Lytechinus pictus: one gene and its partner. The protein of the gene in region 1 interacts with the protein of each later gene in a pairwise test. Links are inferred from orthologs where the notes say so. Each region holds a gene or a part of one and is shown on either strand. Other genes may lie near its edges. The genes, in order: U3 small nucleolar ribonucleoprotein protein MPP10-like and U3 small nucleolar ribonucleoprotein protein IMP4-like.

Region 1 (9,785 bases):
ACCATGTTCACAAGGGAGGTTTGCTGGTGGAACCCCTTGAGTTAACCAAATCTTAAATCACTGCAAGTTCAGTGACACACAAAAACATAAGAAAATCATTTCATTAGCTCAGGGTGCTGAATATGAGATGTGGAATCCTAGCTTTTTCATGCATATTCATAAAATACAAACAAGAAACACCATGTTGGGTTCAACTCATGTGTGTGCTCTGTCAAAAACATCAACAATGTCGCCATTTTCAATTTACTTTTTGTATCACCATTAGACATACTGGATGCCATTATTATTTTCTTGTCTTGTCAGTAGAGACATCAGACTGAAAATTAGGATCATCCCTGTATTGGGATTATCTTCATTTATAATAAATTCTCTACACAAGAAATCTAGGAAAGTTCATTCACCTGTCAAGTGCAGTTGGCCAACACCAATCAGTGTGCTAGTTAATGTAAATATATCAGGTTCATAACACAATTGTTAGAAGACGGTAAGTCATAAAATGGTAAACTGGGAGGAATTGAGGTTACAGAATCTATTTTTAGCACTCTCAGTTCCTGAAATTGCAGTAAGTGCCTACATTAACCATTGGCCATATTGGCGTTAGAGCAGCCTGCCCGAAATTTTACATGTTAAGATTTTCTGTAATATTTTTTGTTCTAAAATGTTTTTTCACAAAATGAAATTTGAATCAATGTTTGTTAAATATATTTGTTTATTTTTAATTGCAATGTTTATTTTTAACTTCTATCTCAAATTTTCATAAAATCTTGAAATGCATCACCGTATATTGTGACCACAGTTCAACAGCCCCTGCCTTTTGTTCGGCACAACGCGCCTTCAAAAGTCAATGCGTGCAAACGCCACTGAATTGCACACCGCATGCAACCTGGAAGTTGCAGCCGTCATTTGCTCCCGTATTACGCTCGGACCCTGGCCCCATGTAGAATGAAAGCCTGCCTTTAGCATGCCGTTGACTTGCTTTCTGTGCAAATTCAATGCAGTAGAGTTTTTCAGATTTTTCTTTTTGATGTGCCATTTTGAAGATACGATCTTAAGTTTGCGAACTGGGAACAAAACCACAGATTTGTTCATTTTAACTTTTTAAGCGCATGTTTCGACTACCCCGCTTCTTAAAGCTGAGCTAAGGAGCTAAGCCTAAGGCTGCCGCGTGCTCTGAAATTTATGGTGAATATTTCGCATTTTAAGGGCAAAATTTTACTTTATCTAAGTAAGGCCTTACTATACTAAGCCTAGGCCCTAGGGATTTTGGAGTTGAAATCGGGGTTACCATGTGGTAAGTGATAGTGCCTGTGTATATAAGTTATGTGTTTGCTGTGTGTTGTGGTGATTGACAACTGCAGTGCAGCGCCACCCATGGGTTCATATCGTCTCGCGGGCGAAGGAATATCGGTCATATGCACGCGACACACACGACACATCCAAAATATACTGGGCTTTTGCCCACATAAAATATCACGCATAATCTGGTATTTCACATTCTGCTATGACACTTACCGAATCATTTAGATTCTTCCGTGACTTCTCCTTGAAGTTTCTTTTTAAAAATATGTATATTTTCTTGATCATTAGTGAAGATTTCACGGAGACAAAAATTGGTCAGCGTGGATATCAATTTTTGCCTAAAGAGGGCACACGATTTATATTCATGTCAAAGACACGACAAGGGAAAGACTAGGCACCTACACTATTTTACACGCAAATCGACGCAAGGCATTACGCAAAGTCTGTGAAGTGTCCAATCTTTTCATTGTATAGACTTTGGTATACCGTATTATTGAATTTCGTTAAAGCTTGTACTGCTGGTTTCGTTCCAGGCATGTGTATTTTTTTCAATTTTTTTTTTATTAGTCATCGTTTTAAATTAATTGCAAAAAAGTGTTATCATCGCCAATAGTAATCTTGAATTATGTTTTTGAAGGTATTTCATTTATTGGTGCCCATAATTAGTAAATTAATCATAAGAATTGCGCATTCAAAGAATTTAGACACAGTTATAAAATTACCGAGGAGCTGAATCAAGCCTAAGGTTGTGAAATTTATTAGCGCCACCAACGGGCTTCCTTGTATTTCCGTAGACAAACGAAGTCACTTGCTGGCCGAGGTAAGCGAAATTTGCTCTTTTTGTAATGAAATTATTTACAAATCAATTTTTTATGTAGGGCCTAGGCCTATTGCTACTTACCGGAAAGAGCCCCGGTGCGTAGCGTCTAGCGAGAAGGAGTTTCGGCAAATATTACTTCAGCAATGAAGCGATGTTTGCCAACTACTTCGAAATCCAGGGTCAAACACGGTCCCTTGTACGAGGTTAGTATATATACTAACCTCGTATTAGTGTCAGTGGTGCAGCGCTGGCTTGTGAAATTAGTTTTCCATGTTAACTTGAATTTAGTTTCTCTCACTCCTAGTACCAATGAGGTCCAAACATTACATGTATGGACCTCATAGGCGACATCAGTGATAAAACCGGTTAGACATTGCCGTTTCTATTTGCACCCAAGAACTTTGGCAAATGTACGCCTTAATACATAGTGGATGGTAACAATTTAGGAAACTTCTACGACATTTGAAATTTAATGGATTGAGGTTAAACTTACATTTTCAGTCTTTTTTCTTGAATTCTTGGTGAGCGTTCCAAACGCTGTGGGGACTGATCAACTACGATGTGATTCACGTACTGGTCAGCTGATCGGTCAGGTGATCGGTTGGTTATCTTTTTGTCAGACGTTCATAATTTATATTACAATATATCAATCTTCAGTATCTTGATTTCAAGCATCAGTATTGCAGGGAAAAGTCATTATCGATTGGAATCAATGGCAGATCGGGGGGGGGGGGGGGTTGAGCATTTCTGGCCCGTTCCACCTTTTGAGATTCATAGTCAATATTTTGGATGTAAAAAAAAAATGTCGTTCGTACAAAGTTAAGTCCCCCCCCCCCCCCCACCTCCTTATGAGAATCACAGCAATATTTGTAATGGGGATATTTTGTTCATATTCTTTGCTCTTTTTTGTCCTTTTCTTTTTTGCTTCCCAAATTTATTTTACTTTGAACATATGACTTTCTATATTTAATGACAAACTTTTTTAGGGGGGTGGGGGCTTGCCAAATATAACGCGCGACAAGATGACCTTCTTTTTTTAGTGACAACTTTTTTTTTATTTGTCAAATTTTACGAGAGACAAAATGACCTTCGATCATTATTAATTAAACCTTTTTTTTGGAGGGTAGGGGGCTCGCCAAATAGTGACACACTTTTTTTTGTAAAATGTTATGCAAGAAAAAATGATCTTCAATCATTATCAGCTACCTTTCATTTTTTTTTAGGGGGGGGGGGCTTGTCAAATTTTACGTGGGACAAATGACCTTCATTTTTTAGTGATTTTTTTTTTTATACTTGACAAATTTTAAGAGGAACAAAATGGCCTTCAATCATTTTTAGTTAAAACCTTTTTTTGGGAGGGGGGCTTGCCAAATATTTCACAAACAAAATGAACTTCAATTTTAGTGACCATCTTTTTATTACTTTTAAAATTTCACGCAGGACAAAATGACCTTCACTTTTTTTAAATGTTATGTTATATCGAGATTTTTTACCTGACTGCTAAAAAAGCACGAATGCCTGTGAGCAAGCAACCAGGGGACCAACGGCTTAAGGTCCTCTCCGAGGGACCTGGTAATGAGGATAAGCCTTAAGGGCACTAGCGCACCACTTGGGAATCGAACCCGGGTCACCGGAATCCGAAACCCCTGCTCTACCGACTGAGCCATCGCGCCTCCGATATGTTAAACTTGGGGGGGGGGGGGGAGGCTTGCCAAATATTACACGGACAAAATGAGTCTTTTATTTTTAGTAACCATCTTTTCTTTTTACTTGTCAAATCTTACGCGAGACAAAATGACAATTTTTCTGTGATAACCTTTTTGGGGGGGTTGTCAAATTTTACTTGAGAAATTGCACCCCCCTACTTTGGAAAATCGAAGATTAAGATCATGAGTATAGCCTACATCTCAGAGGCATAAACAGATGGGGGCATGGCTGGCCATCCCCCGAGTGGATTTCACCTGAAAAAAAAACATAGGAGCAACGGAAGGAAGAAAGAAAGAAAAATGAAAGAAAGAACGAAAGGAAATTTAAAAAGGAAAGTAATGTGAGAACAAATAATCCGGGGGGGGGGGGGCTACTCAGATAATAAAAAAATCTGCCATCTGTAATTAAATTGGATTAGTTAATATCCAGAGGTCCCAGGGCTACCAACATACATGTAGCGCGGGCAGTGCATGGCGTACCTAGGATTTTCCACAGGGGGGCAAAATCGGCCGCCAAAAAATTTGACAAGCAAAAAAAAAGGAAAAAAAGGCTCTTCAATGAAAAAGGTCTTCAATCGTACCAGAAAAAATTTGACAAGCAAAAAAAAAAGTCTTCAAGCTCGCCAGGGGGGGGGCAAAATAGGTATTCAAGCTCGTCGGGGGGGGGGGGCAAAATAGGTTTTCAAGCTCGTCAGGGGGGCCGGGGGGCAGAGATATGTAATTTGCATGGGTTTGTGACTCATCGGGGGGGGGGGGGGGGCAGACTGCCCCCCCCCCTAGGTACGCTAGTGCTCGGGACTTACATTACGTAACTTTTATCTTCCACATGCGACATGTACTATGCCCCCTCTTATATACCCCTGTTATGCCCCTGCACAGACTCGTCTACATTGATTTCGATATTTAAGCGTCATTATAAAATTATAGCAAAAAGAACGCCTTGATTAAAGGCCATTACCCCTAGAGACTCGCGAGCGTCATGTGACAACTCGCCCTGGATTTGCACGTACAGGATCCTATGGCGACAAAATCCATCGCAAGAGTTGGCCAGAAGAGGCGATGAAAACACAAAATTTGGAAAGAAAAGAACCCGTGAGTACCCGTTTTACATTATAATTATGAAATTAGTATATAATTGATAACATAGACCTAAATTTAGGCCGTAATTTTGATTAATTTGCTGGAAATTCAAGGCCAAAACGTACCCGTCTGGCGTCGACTTTTCCAACACGCGTTGGAATAGCGGTGTAGCCCCAGAGTGGTTTCTCTTTCCGAATTCCGGGCGTGCGTTGGCTGCCCAAAAGCCAAAATCAAAGTGATTATTATGGCAAATTGATGTCTGTAAAACTCAATAACACACACACACACAAAATAGACAAACAATTCAATAAACACAATAGGAAGACAAATCTAATTTGATTTTTCCCCGTTCGTGTACCTGGCCTGGTTGAGTTAGCTAAAATCTTCTCAACAAACTCAAAACTACATGGGTGGGACTGAACACAAAATATCGTAAAGATAAGCTGCAAATTAAAGCACAATAAGGAATTCAAATTAAATGAAACTATAAATATCACTACAAAATCACTATACAAACCTAATATATCTTTCTGGATTCTTCGTAGATTTTTCGAACTTGTGTAAAGCACCATTTAAATGACCATCTTTTGACGCCATGCTGTTGCAGTAGCGTTGCTTTAGATGTATGGAAAGCTAAACGCTAATTCCACATTCAAGGAATTTTCCTTGTTTTGTGGAATTTTAAGGAATTTTTGACGAAAGAAGGAATTTTTCAACGAATTTTGAAAAATCAAGGAATTACAAAGAAAATGAAAACAAAATCAAAAGATATTTAAGAATATTCAAGGAAATCGGGATAAAATCCAAGGAAAATTATAGATTATAATGAATATTAAAAAAGTTATATGGTTCAGATATTTAAAAAAATTTAGGTAAAAGCCATGACGTGCAAAATTTTAAGCTCGGGCTTCGCGCTTGCATTATCAAGGTCTCATGAGATACACCTTATTATTTTGTTTGTAAAAAAAAAAGGTACTTAAACTTCAGTCTATACAGCATCTCATCCCCAGCTTTTTGAACAGCAATTTTGGTAAACAGTGATTTTCTCACCCCCTAAAGCCCTGGGGCCGATTGCACGAAAGGGTCTTTCCAAGGACCGTCTTTCGTGTCGCCCGTCTTTTATGATGCGCTATAAGCGGTGTGTTTCTGAAATTTATGATAAACAAATAAAATTCGTAAGCTTGCTTTTAAATCAAATTTTATACAATTTCATGAGATATCACATCATTTAATAAATAAATATTTTGTTTATTTTAACTGACGAATACAATCGGTGATTTCAAGTACGGTGTTGAAATCTGGTGTTGGTGTTGTGACAACACCAACACCAGCCACAACACCGTACTTGAAATCAGGCTGGTGTTGGGATTGACCCCCGGGGGGGCCACTTACATTGACGAGTGGATACCATGCGCGACCAAAAAAACACGTAAAAAGGATGTCTTTTTCAAGATAGGGCAAATACGTACGTAACGTGATAAGGGTGTCAAAAACACAAAAATATTGAAAAAAGGGTATCTATTTCGCTCGGAAAAATATACGTGTTTAGGGTAAAACTATATGCGGGGATGATCAAACAAAAACAAAATGTTTTATAAAGGATGTCCTTTTTGCCCCAACACTACGTGTTTAGAGTCCGATTTGCACGAGGTGTGGAAGGTGGGGCCGTACTAAACCAAAATACTGTGTCTAAAGGTAAAACCGACGGACGCGTGACATAACAGTAAAATATCTCTGTACTTGTTTAGGGGTTCTTTTCTGGGAATACCTGCCAATAGTATTTGTTTCCAATACTTGTTAAGGGTAAGGTTTCACACGCCAATACTTGTTAAGGGGTGCATTTTCAGAATATGGAAAATACGTGTTTAGGGTGCTTTTCAAGACCCCGTGGTCGCGCATGGTATCCACTCGTCAATGGAAGTGGCCCCCCCGGGGATTGACCTCGGAAAATATGACGTATTTCCGGCAGTTCGTGTTGAAGGCTGGTGTTGAATGTCGTCTGCTGAACCAAGCACTGCGGCTGGTGTTGACGATCTACGTGCAATTTCCCCATTCACCAACACCAACCCCCAGGGATTGGGAAAATCGTGATTTTAAGTTCGGTGTTGGTGTTGGTGTTGATGAACTGTAGCTCACGAACAGGCAGCGAACACGATGAAACATCTCCGTAAAATTATCTTTTACAGATAAGATGAGCGAAAATCATTAGAGTTTTACACATTTAAGTGAAAGATAATATTTATGCTTTCTGATTATTGCAGTGATTTTAACCTTTGCATTCTGTACGATAAGATTTTATTGCAGTTTATTCCCGATTTCACTATCGTCGTCGAGAATTTCTTGCGTAAAGTTGAGATGATCAGCAGCGCAACACAGAAGCGTGACGTCATAGGTTATCGATAACGCGATCGGTATCGCTCCTCTGAACTCAGCTCGGTGTTGGAGCTCGGTTCAGCAGCCTTTTCACGCTCTCAACACCAACACCAACTCCGAACACCGTACTTGAAATCACCCAATATGTTTGCAGATAATTTATTTGAAATGCGTTTCACATGGCGCATCATAAAAAATGGGCGACACGAAAGATGGTCCTTGCAAAGACCCTTTCGTGCAATCGGCCCCTTGCATACAGATGGGGGCTTGAAAACGTACCATCAAATGGGGGGGGGGGGGGGAAGAGAAGAGAACACAACAGAAGGAAAACGTGTCACCGGGTACCCTATAGCTGTGTATTTAAAACTGAATTTGAGGGCATATAATGTAGGCACCCCCCGCCCCCCCCCCTCCACTCGACTTTTTTCCTTCCTTTTGTCTAATTCTTATGCAGTATGACGCTTTTTTTTTCTCACAAACACACACATATATCTCTTTTCCTTGTATCTCTCTCTCAGAGGAATGACTGTATTTTTCTTAAATTGTGTATTTTGTCGCTCTTATACAGTTATCTTCATATTTACTATGTCTCATGAATATCCATGTGTTACCAATGCACCATGCAATTGCAATTGTGTATCATGATTTGTACCATTGTTATTAGATTTGGTTGTTATCATAGCTGGGAGGGCGTTCCTAGGGCAACCAAATACAACTAACTTCGGAAAATCACATCAACTCACAAAAATTGTTTACTTTTTGTAATCCAATATGAGATTAGAAATTCATGACCATTTGAGGTTAGGCATAGGCCTACTGCACAAAACAGTGATATGCACGGCAACATTATTACCTGCATCATATTAATGGAGATCCTCTTTGTAATGATCATAATCAGTTCTCATTGGAAAAATTACTCTTTTGGCATACTTAATCTAGGAAAGAAATATCTACTTTCACATTTAATCTTACAAAACCACACCCCCTGTTCAGGTTTTTTTCTTTAAAAAAAGTCATGCAAATTAGAGCGGCACATTTCTGAACACCCAAATAAGAGTAAAGCATTATCATCACCATCATCCTTACTATGCATCTTATCTTTTCCTTACTGATCATATACGTTTCATTCATTTCCCGCCCCCCCCCCCCCCCTCTTCATCTTCTTCTCTATAAACTGCCTCCTTCCCTTCTTAAGATTCTTGCAGATGTTGATTTATGTTATGGTGGTCAAATATTTGAGCATTTAGTACTGCTCCTCCCAATGAAAATATTCATATAGCTTCTGGATATATTGAATCAGTGGCAGAATCAATAGTAGTGTTTCCACCACTGATCTTCCCTTCCCCCTCCATTTGGGAAAACATTATTAGCATTTATTTCATGCTGTAAAAAAATAAAAATACTTAGAATAGGTAAAAAAAAGAAAGAAGAGTTCTAAAACATTGTTCATGTAAGATAAAGGGTGAAATCTTTATTGCACAATCAAAATCCAATAGGAATACAAGTCTATCATTATTCAAGAGTATGCATATGTCCATTATATGTACAAACATCATGAAACACAAGTTATTGTCCTTTGATGAAAATAATAACTGATTGCGAACATTTGCGTGCACAGTCAATATCATCTTTCCACAAAACTTAACCAGATCATTGTCACACGAATGTGCAAATATGAGCCTATTAATGAAGTGGATACCCCAGATGGTTCTTTAGTTCTTGGAAGAACGAGAGAGAGCTTAAGAGGCATAATGACCTGTGTGCACCTTTAACCTTGATACTAAAAATCTACTAGTAATCAATTCATCATCACTCTTTTAAGCATACATGACCCAAGTCATGTATTAATTATTATCATCATAATAACCAAAACAAGACCGTAACAGACAAAAGATAGAAAAAATAATGCTTGCAGTGGGTATAGACATGAACAGAATTCATGAGAACAACATTTTATGATATGAAAGTGGTTTTCTGATAACTGCAAATTTGGAGCTATAACATGAAATTTTGACTTAAAAGTAACAATGATCAATCGTTATTATGGCCATAATCCAATCAACATCATGGTCCTAAATTTGCGATAGATTAAAAAAAATTGTTACAGCATGCCCTGGTATCATTACAGCAAGCAGGAAAATGTTAAATTTACTATTCAGAGGAAATTAAAAGCTATAGGAATGAGCAAATAAATACTTAATATTTATAGCATTACCAAAGAAAGCTGCCTCCTTGTTGCAAATGAAATTGTTCAGAAAACATCAATTCAGGTTCAAGTAATCTGATCAAATATCTTGTTTTTTCACCGGATTAGCCCTCCTTACCAGAGGCGTCGATCCTGGGGGGGCGATCGCCCCACCAATGAAAATATTGGGGGGGGCAAACATATCGTTTTGCCCCCCCCCCCCCAATAATTCCAGTTGTGCAAAAAAAAAAAAAAGGGTGTAATGTTCAGCAAGCGAGATTGAGATACACAACTCGTTCTCTATTGCAAATCATGCTCAAAA
Region 2 (10,518 bases), on another chromosome or scaffold:
AATCACGTATTGAATTCTAGTATTTATGAAATAATAATTTTTTTCTATAAATTGTTCTTCAAAACGGCATCGCTAGTCGGATGTACGTCATCACGAAGCGGTTCAAGGGTCAGGTCTATTGTCTTTGCTTTGTTGACAAACGGATCGAGGGATCTACGGGAGATCGGGTCTGGTAAGAAACGTCTCATTTTTACCATCTATAGTAAAATAATTTGTATCCCTTTACACGCATTAGGCGCCTAAAGGTTCATAGATAAATCAAATTCGACCCTAGAAAACCGATTTCACCCTCTAACTATGGATTTCCTGGGGAAATCCATCTTTGTGTACATGTGTCTCTTATACATATATGGACGGGGGTTCAAGACTCCATGATGAAGAAATATATGTCAAAATATTTATTTAAAAAATCATCATTGTCATGGAGTCCTCAAGACTACTGTCTAGTAATATATGCTGCGACACCACTTCTGGCGTCCACAACACACAACTTCTATCTGTCTAGATCTTATGGCTTGATTTTTCTGTGCGAGGCGGCGTATAATGAACCCTTGAGCACTGTAAGTTAGGCCTGTTGTTGAGTGCAACTGCAGTCAGACCGCAGCTTGTGCGATAATGAGCATATTCACAAAGATTTATTCAGCAGCCCTCTAGCGGTCTCCGAAGGAAAACGTGCGATCAATTTGGCTTGATTTTCCCAGTGAATTGGAGGGGCTGAAGTTATAGCTCTGTACTGGTCGCTAACTTCAGTTTACATTGAAACGAATTGTGGTAAGTTATTCTCAAGGCCTTCATCTACATTTTGATATATAATTTTTCATATTTAGACATTTTCAACCTACCATTTTTACCTCTTTAATTGATGCTTATTTTAGTAATATTTTAACTGCGATTTTGTAGTCGGAATTTCACTTTTGGTTCCTGACTTTGCTACATAACCAAATTGTTTCGATCGGGGTTTTTTATAAAGAAGAACAGTCACCGTTCAAAATATGTCAGAACCAATTTGACGCAAACTCACCTTCTATTTTTATTTTAGAAAAAATGATACCCTAAAAATCAAGAAATTTACGTTTTACCCGGAAGTAACCTTCTCGTTCACTCTACGATGGCGCAAAATAATGCAAAAATTACGTTTGTCGCGGGTTGGTAGGATTTCGCCTTTGGTCCCATACGTTGAAACTTCTGTAATGATGACAGATGGCTCGCATTATTTATATGACGGTGGACCTTTTTTTTTTTTTTGTAATTAAGACTTAATATAAACCAAGCTCAATAAGTACGGTAGATCTCTTCTAAAGTTTTATTTAATGATTATCAGGTTTCCGAATTCCATCAAGTTTGTATAGATTGAGATATTTCTTGATTTATGTTGAAAAAAAATGTTAACCTTTTTTCTTAATTATTCGAAGTTGAGTCCCATGATGATTTTTGCCCCAGGCTGCGGTTAAGAATGAAATGATGATTAGCTTAGACAGTCTATTCTATAGATTATAAACACTAAAGTTTAAAGTCAAACTAAAAGGCTGGTACTACCGTACTCAGTAGTATTTATAAACCATTTTGTTCAAATAAAAAAATTGTGGCTGTCGCAGACAGTACTATTATTAGTCTCTTGACTTACATGTAAAATAATTCATACATGTACTTTGAATGATTATTTAGTAATTTAAACTATTTCTCTCTTTTTTTTGGTCTCTTCTACACACAGATCTGCACACTTGCTGACTCTGGTCTCTGCTCGCTACTTTATTCTGGGAGATTCCATCATGTACTATAACGGTCAGACTGATTTGGACAAAGCCATTTTTTCATTTGCAAATTTTGAACTGATAATAATACAACAGAAAATTGATCTTTATCGATATTGGAAACAAACAAATTAGAGCACAGTTTTGGGGAGGGCTAAGAATACTGACTTGGACAGGAATACAGCTTGACAAAAATAAGAATACACAATTTAAAACCAAAGAACATTTTTAATGTTACTAATAGTCCATTGCAAGAAACTTTTTACTCATTCACACATTCTAAAATCAAGGGTAAGTCCTTTGATTAAACACAAACATGTAGTTGATTTGCAACTGAACATAAGTTTCTTGCAATGCCCCATAATTATATTTTGTTCTCAAGCAACTCTGTTAAATGTTATCTCAAGGCTCGACATTAGCGGTGGCCCGGTGGCCCGGGGGCACCAAAAATTCACCTCGGGCAACCATTATTGATAAAATGTTAAGTTTTGGTGACCCGAATCCGGCGAATCGGGCAACCAATAATTTTCAAAGTAGCGCAATTTTTCTCCCAATTTTGCATGCATTTATCAACTTTCTACAGCTCAAATTGCAAGCCAGTTCGTCATGCGCCCTTTTTGTTGATCTACACACAAATACACACACACAAAGTTTGCATATTAGGCCTACAGCTATAGCATACAGTAGCTATTATCCAGCCAGCCGCGCCGGCCGGCTGGCGTGAGCTTTGCATGAAGCCACTGCATACAGCTGTGCTCTAGATCTAGCTCAGCCTATTCAGACTCAGGGAGCTGCGATAAAAAATGTTGCTGCTGAGAAATCTTCCACAGAACTTTGAAAATCTAAGTCAAAGTCACATTTTACATCAATGAAATGCAATTCTACAGTCTATATTACGAAAATCTGGTGTACCCTGATTATTTGCAAGTATTAAGAAGAGGAATTATGACCTCTCTTTTGACTCAAAAAGACCGATTTCAACATGAATTAATACACATAAAAACACATAGGCAAGTACATCACAGTCCCACGTGTGCATTTGTATGTATGTTGATACTTGGTTTCTTTCGAAGCTGTGTATTTTCTAGCCAAAAACAAACAGACAGTTTCTTTCTTTCTTGTTTATAAATGACTTCTTAAACCACTCTTGAGAAAGTAAATACTTTGGGAAGGCATTTCATTGATATGAAATGTGATTTTTTTTCCAACATTTTGGCAAATATAGGGAAGGACTTTTCTCACACTTTTTTCCAGATATAATTTTTGCAGTTTTCTTTTTTTTTTTCTTTCATTTTTTTTTTACAGTGGTTAAAACCATTTATACCCCTTCCCATTGAATATGCCTGATAAAAAAATATGTTTCTACTGAAAATAAAATAATACAAACTAAAGGATATAGAAATAGAAATGTGCCATTCCCAAAAGGTAAGTGAAAATTATTTGCTTGGCTTTTAATTATATTCCAGTAAGAATAGACTGTTGCCACAGCTGTTAAAAAATATATGTAATGGCTTCATAATTTTCCCCTTTTTTATATTAACTTTGTTTTATCCATTTTTCTTTCATTTTCTTTCCTTTTTTTCTCTAATTTTTTTCTTTTCTTTTTTCCCCTGTTCTTTGTTTTTTACTTTCTTCATTTTCTTTCTTTTGTTTTATATCACTAATTTCTTTTATTATTTTTGTTTTCTTTTTGTAATATACTTTTTGAAAATTATTTTCGTTTGTTTCCCCCTTTTATGCATTGTTCTAATTTTGCAGCATATTTTCTGTGATTTTCTCCTTCTATAATATGCTGCAAAAGAGAAAACAGAAATAAACTGGATTTGGGGCATGCATAATCTAGGTTTTAGGATTCAAAGAGGAAGGAAGGAAAAACCATTGTTTTTTACATCTATCTGAGTTTGCTATGCACTATTTTTTTACTTTACCATTATCTCTATACAGAGATTTTAAAAAAAGTCCACACAACCAGCGAACAATACAATTCATTTATTCACTTTCAATCATTTCATTTTACAACGATAGAAACAATTATCAATTAGCAAAGTAAAATAACAGGAAACAAGGTTTACATACATGATGTATAAAGTGAAAGTAACTTAGTGCCGTGGTAGTGGCTGCAGAATTAATATTTCAGAAGTTTGTTTTATTCATTTTTAATGTTTTTCTTTATATTTTTCGGGCCACCAAACTTCAATATCGGGCCACCAAAAAAAATTATTTGATGGTTTTGGTGGCCCGAACGGGCCACCACCAAAAAAAGTTAATGTGGAGCCTTGGTTATCTAATGTGTTATGTATGTTCACAATTTTTTTTTCTCGAAAGGTATATTTGTCCTTTTAAACGGTATTCGAATATGGTTACGCTTTCTTTTTGTTTTCCACAGTAATTATTGCATGTATGAACAGAAGTGAAATATTTGTTGTGAAGCACTGTGTGATCATGGAGCTATGGTGTGATGGTATTATAATTAATTCATCATTTATGTTATAAGACTGTAAACCTGGTGGATGTGAGGGAGTGGCCTGGATGAAAGGAAAGTGAACATGTGTCCAATTATGTCCAATGTAACCTATTGTGATTCGATGAAGAGTTTTTATATCAAATTTGCTAAAATTGATATAATAAAATGCAACCAAAATTTAGAAAGTAATGTGATGTGAGTGACATAATCAACTCTATTTGCATACCATTGTTTTGTGTATATAACTGTTTTGTGTTGAAAAAGGGAAATTTCTCTATTTATTCAAATAATTTTTTGTTGATGTGCACTTGACCTTGACCTTGACTGGGCGTTGTGGCGTGCGCCTGTAATCCAAGCTATGTGGGGAAGTTACAAATTGATGCAGAGGTTCGAGGTTCGAGCCCTGGTCACGTCTTTCGGATGGTGACGTTAAAGGTCGGTCCCAGACGTAAATAATCATATCTGATTGATACACGTCTGACAAAACTCAAATACACGACGCACTTGACCTTTAACTCACTTCCCTTCCCATCCCTGCCCAAATAAGTGTAAACAAGAACTTGAAAATCAAAAGTGAATCAGAGTTATTAATAGCTCCATGATTTAATAATACAGGCCTAAATAGAAATTCACATGAATGATGAAAGTAAAAAGAGAATAAAGCTGGGTAGGAACGGGAAAGGAATATGATTTAAAGAAAAAGCTAAAATATATCCCCACCACCCCCCCCCCCCCTCCCCCGGAAAAAAAAACACATTCCGTCGGGTTCGATCCAGGGTCCCTGCACACGTCAAAACATTGTGCTTACGCAAGTCGCCATAGATCGCTTTCGTACTTCTTCCGGGTTTTTAATGCTATATGAAATGTTGTAAGTCTGTGCGCCGCTGTTGACCAATCAGATTCAGAATGCGTTGGCAATTCTACTGCAATTCCAATCATTTTGCGATGGACATTGCCGTGAATTTTTGTGGTTCCTGTCCTGACTTTGCTACATCATGAAATTTCATAATTCTTTTTCAGTCATAAAGAAGAATGTCTACGCTTTATATTGATTATAATATCAATTTGACGCAAGTGTGATTTCTATGCAAAAATACGCTCCGTTTATTCACATATATTTCTTGAAAAAATCCTTTATTCTAAGCTAAATATTGGTCTACAAAATATGTTAAATGTGCATTTTATTTAACTGATCAGGAATTTCAAAGGCAAAGCCTTATCTATAAAATAAGACCAATTTTGTGAGGAATAAACGATTCTAAGAGCAAAAAACACTGATCGGAAAGTTCGTCTTCACAGCTCATTGCTTATGCATAACCACGGACGGCTATGCATACCGGTACCGCTGAATAAAATAGAGCACTTTCGGAAGTGCTGCGGACTGACTGTGCAACTGCAAGTGCAAGATCAGACAAGAGATCTAACTTACACAGTACCGTACATATTTCGCAATGTATGGGACTGTAGTCTGTAGATCTATAGTATAGCAGAACAAAAGTGCATTTAAAATCATATAAACGAATCATAATTATGATGAATCACAAAAATTATATGAAAAAGTATGCGTACCATTTTTGTGTCTTTACTCTTCTGTTTCGACCCAAAAGTTTAACTGCATGAATTGAAAGCTGTGTCGATGCTCAGAGACGGAGTCAAAATCAAACGTCGTCGTCGGTAATAATAGTACCCATACCACACTCAATTACCGACGCGTATATCTACCGATATCTATATCTCAGAGCCCTTTTCTGCGCGAAAAGGTACAATTGATATGATTGGTCAAATCTTCGGACCTTGCGAAAGATTGACGAATAAACAAGTTTCAAACATAATAAGATACCAATGTGCAGCACATGTGTGAAAACTGCTATTCCGCAATCAAACACCGCAGCATCTTTTGAGCTGTTTTAATTTTCTTCAGTGTTAAAAATGGTAAAAAATTGTATATTATTGTAGCAATTTAAGATTTGATTATATTTGCATTTCAAGTGCAAAACTTGTTTGCTCTAATTCGAACTCAATTTACTTCAAATCAACCTCGGGCTCTAGACTAGAGACTAGACTATGGCTCTGCCAGGCGCGACACTGTCTAACTTTCTGCGGCTTCTGTCGGCGTCGAAAATCGTCCGCACCCGCTCCGTGCCGAGTGCCCGACTTGATCGCGAAAGCATGACTGTGTTTTCTTATCTTGGTGGGTTTTTTTTAATTGCATAACTTCCTCAAATTATTTTGATTTAATGATACTAAAAGTGAACAGAATCATATTTCATTATTTGTCAATAGATTTGATTATTTAGTAATAATACTAGTATTAGTATGCTTGTATTTTATAGACACGATAGATTTCTACTTCTAACAAGTTAGAAGTAGAACTAGTAGAAGTAGAACTAGAATAGTAGAAGTAGAACAGGTAGTCGGGTAGAAAATTTTAGTCTAACTTGTTACAAATGTTAGAATCTATTATTTTTCCCAGTTTGTGATTATGAATTATCAAAAATATTACAGATGGTTTACATTTAGAATAATCAATTTACAATTTTTTAATTATAAATTCTGATTCCAACAAGTTCAATAATGTAGGTCCTAAATGATTTTATGTTATTTATCTTTTTCACATGTTATATATAATGAGGAAGGAATGAATATGATAAAAAAAAAGAAATTAGAAAAAAACTTTCCTTTGCCTGCTTTGAATTTAATTTTATAAAGAAATATCAAGATAATGTATAATTAAAAAAACAGAAGCTTTCTGTCCCGCGTTAGATGCCGGGCAATTTTTTCTGCCGCTTCGATAAGCTCCAATCACCATTTGTTGCTTAATCGCGCAGTAGCATACGCAGGGATGGGGGGGGGGGGGGTTACATACAGGTGGTTCAACCTGTAAGTTACAGTGTAACCTTTATTTTTTTTAAACAACCCCTCATCCTCCCCCTCTAAAAATAAAAAAATAGGTACGAAACGACCTCCAATTTTGTGTTAAAGACCTTTTTTTTGTCAAATTTGAATTCTGAATTCACTGGCGGATCCAGGGGGGGCAAACCTGGCCCGTGCCCCCCTTCCCCCTTTGAGAAGCAAAAAAAAAGAAAGAAAATATGTAATGTTAAAAAGTGAAGTGAAAGTGAAGACCTTTTTTTTTTGCTTGTCAAATTTTTTCGGGGCCGAAATATTCTTAATTTTTGTCTCGCCCACCAGAGGTGAGGGTGAGACTTACATGTAGGGATCCAAATGTAGTCCGTCTGTCACAAACATTATGACACAACTCCGCATCCATAAGTCACTTGTCAACCAAACTTGGATGGTAGATGCACTTAAGGGACCTGCATGTTATGCTGCAGTCAGAGGTCACATGGTAAGGCCAAAGGTCATTTTCAGGTCGATGTTAAAGTTTACATGCAAGACTTAAAACACAACTCTGCAACCGTAAGTCACTTTTCAACCCAACTTAGATGGTAGATGCACTGAGGGGACCTGCATGTTATGCTGCAGTTGGAGGTCACATGGTAAGGTCAAAACCCAAAGGTCATTTTCAGGTCAAGGTTAAAGTTTACATGCAAGACTCTCTTATGACACATAACTTAATGCTAAAACCAGTTAAACGAGGCAAAGCGATCTTCAAAACTACATCGCGAGGTGGTTTCTGATCCGGTTTGGAAGATCGCTTCCAAGGCCGCTTCGACCGTTCTCGTTACACGTTAAACTAGTTTTTCCAGTAAACTACTTTTAGGATGGTAGAGAGAACAGTGTGATATAGACTCTTTGGGATCATGTACAATCTCGCATTGTTGGCATCGTAGGCCAATATTGTTCCAACATAGGTCGTTGGTCACTTCAGTCATCCATGCTTTCGTCGGCGGGGTATTCTGCAGTTGTTCCGGCCTTTTTCATCTCTCCAAAACTCTGTACCACAGATAAACCATTTTGGAGACTTTGACTTTGTCATTCTAATTCTGCTGCAAGACTGACTTGTAATGTATTTTGGGTGCTAATAATGCATTTTCGCGCCAGCCGATCTGGTGAGGTTAGAAAACTATTTTTCACCTCAATTTTGGGGCTCTCCAATTTTTGTCAAATATCTATCCAATCGATCATTAGCCCAAATTTCAGCCACTTCAAGCTTCAACCAGGAAACTTTGAGTTTGATCTCGATGTCGTCCTTCGAATTATCGGTCAGACGTCGCTCGATCAGCCAATATCGCTGTAGTTTGAAATCGACTGAAGTTACCAATTCAAAGATCTGCCCGGGGCAGCTCGCCCGTGCGTTCGCAAGAGTGAGGTTGCTAATTTCAGTCAATATCAAAACTACGGCTATAGCCAAGCACCGCTGTCTGACAGAGAATTCGAACTATAACTTAAAGATCAAAGCTGAAATACAGCCGTTCCTGATGCCTGAATATATGTGGCTGAAATTCAGGTCAAGGATTGATTAGATAGATATTTGGCAAAAAATTCGGACAAAATTTGAAGTGAAATTAGTTTCCTAACGTTGCCAGGTCGGCCAGTGCGAAACTGCATTAGTGCCATATTTTGTTCAAGCTGTCTTGCCTTGATTTTTGAAGGCTTGATTTTATTAAAAAGCTTTTTTCATCAAACCAGCAATTTGGCCACAGTCATGAGACATGACTGTAGCGATTAAGTTAGATCTAAATAGAATCCTAAGGTTTGTCCATGATTTTGCCTCTTGCACAGTCGTGTGTGTGTGATTGAGTTTTTACAGGTGTGTATTAATCAGATGTAGTTACTTACAACCGTCACCCAAAAAACAAAAGACCTGACCAGGGCACGAACATCTGCATCAATTTGTAACTTCCCCACAGAGCTGGCACACTGTACAGTACTATCCGAACATCTATGGAGAAAGGGAATCATAATGTGTGATGATGTAAAAAACTTCTCTGCCTAGCAAAGTCTCCAGAAGGTTCACCACCGTAGATGCAAAAATTAAGAGGTCATGACCCCCCCCCCCTCCCCTTACCAGGTTTGACTTTGCTGATTTCTTATTTCCAAAGTTTCTCAGTTACTACTAGTCTTGACACACAGACACCCATGCATATTGTGTGCATTTCAAATAAGTGAGAAATATTGATTTTCATTTGCTCTTTACATTATGACAGTTACGGAGGCAAGCTCGTCAGAGAAGGGAGTATTTATACCGAAAATCTCAGGAGGAGCAAGAACGTATCATCAGGGAGAGAAAAAGAAAGTTGAAAGATGCTCTCGATGGTAGGTTTACGGAAACTTGTTTTTATTTGATAAATCTGAGTTTTCCAATGTATTCACACTCACTAGAATTTGTGAATAAGTAAATTGTTTTCTTATCTAGGTAAATAAGTGGGAAAATCCTCATTAAAATATACCAATTTATTTTCCTGCAGATTAATATATAATGGTATACCAGTTACGATATGTATGAAATTCATGTTTACTTGAATATTTATTTTTAGGGCTTTAAATAATTAAGGTGATTTACTCAGTGTCTCATTTATAATTATTCAGCTTGAAAACTTAATTTGATAATTTAATCCATTTTATTTTTTTAATTCATCCAGAAAACAAGAAGATTCCAACAGAGTTACAGAAAGATGCACTAGCCCTTCAAAAGGCCTTGGCGTTTGATGATGATGGAGGAGAAGGTAATTTATACAGTATTTAACATGAAATAACACAGTGATGGGAATTCATGGGATGCAGAGTAAGTGTGTTTTAATTAGTTGACTCCAGACTTAAATGCTTAGGGCATTCTCAAGCCAGGGAAAGTAAGATAACGTATGTGGCAATGTATGGATTGTACCGAACAGTCAAGTAACATGACATTATGATTATTATTGTTTGTTTTGGCGTCACCTGTTCTTGGGAAGCAAAAAGCAAATTAAATCACTATGACCCGCCGGTCTCTCCTCTCGATATAACTGATGTGGGCAGAGTGGTGGTGGACCACTTTTCTAGGGTTTCCCTCTACTCTTATACGAATAGTGCAGTAGGTTCTTAAAGGGTTGGTCCGGACTGAAGATATTTATATCTAATTAAATAGAGTAAAATTCACAGAGCAAAATTCTGAAAATTTCATAAAAATCAGATAACAAATAACGAAGTTATTGAATTTTAAAGTTAAGCAATATTTTGTGAAAACAGTTTTATGCATGTCATCATAAATATTCATTAGGTGGGCTGATGATGTCACATCCCCACTTTCTTTTTTCTTATGTTATTACATGAAATCATAATTGTTTCATTTTTTCAGAAATGTGTAAATGATGTGTCTCCATTATGATGAAATAAGTTGCATCAATAAATAACTAATGCTCT

Evidence for each region.
Region 2: the proteins of U3 small nucleolar ribonucleoprotein protein MPP10-like (region 1) and U3 small nucleolar ribonucleoprotein protein IMP4-like interact in a two-hybrid assay, tested with the Drosophila melanogaster proteins (2 studies listed by BioGRID). The link is inferred for Lytechinus pictus from reciprocal best matches to the Drosophila melanogaster genes CG13097 and CG11920.

What each region holds. Positions count from the first base shown.
Region 1 is NC_087249.1:26,504,270-26,514,054, reverse strand, and holds the start of U3 small nucleolar ribonucleoprotein protein MPP10-like, read right to left. Parts: upstream 5,560-9,785; 5' UTR 5,503-5,559; coding exon 5,423-5,502; intron 1-5,422.
Region 2 is NC_087247.1:40,745,389-40,755,906, forward strand, and holds the start of U3 small nucleolar ribonucleoprotein protein IMP4-like, read left to right. Parts: upstream 1-5,918; 5' UTR 5,919-6,144; coding exon 6,145-6,147; intron 6,148-9,326; coding exon 9,327-9,435; intron 9,436-9,761; coding exon 9,762-9,845; intron 9,846-10,518. Other genes in the region: pre-mRNA-splicing factor ISY1 homolog, read right to left, coding at 5,785-5,787.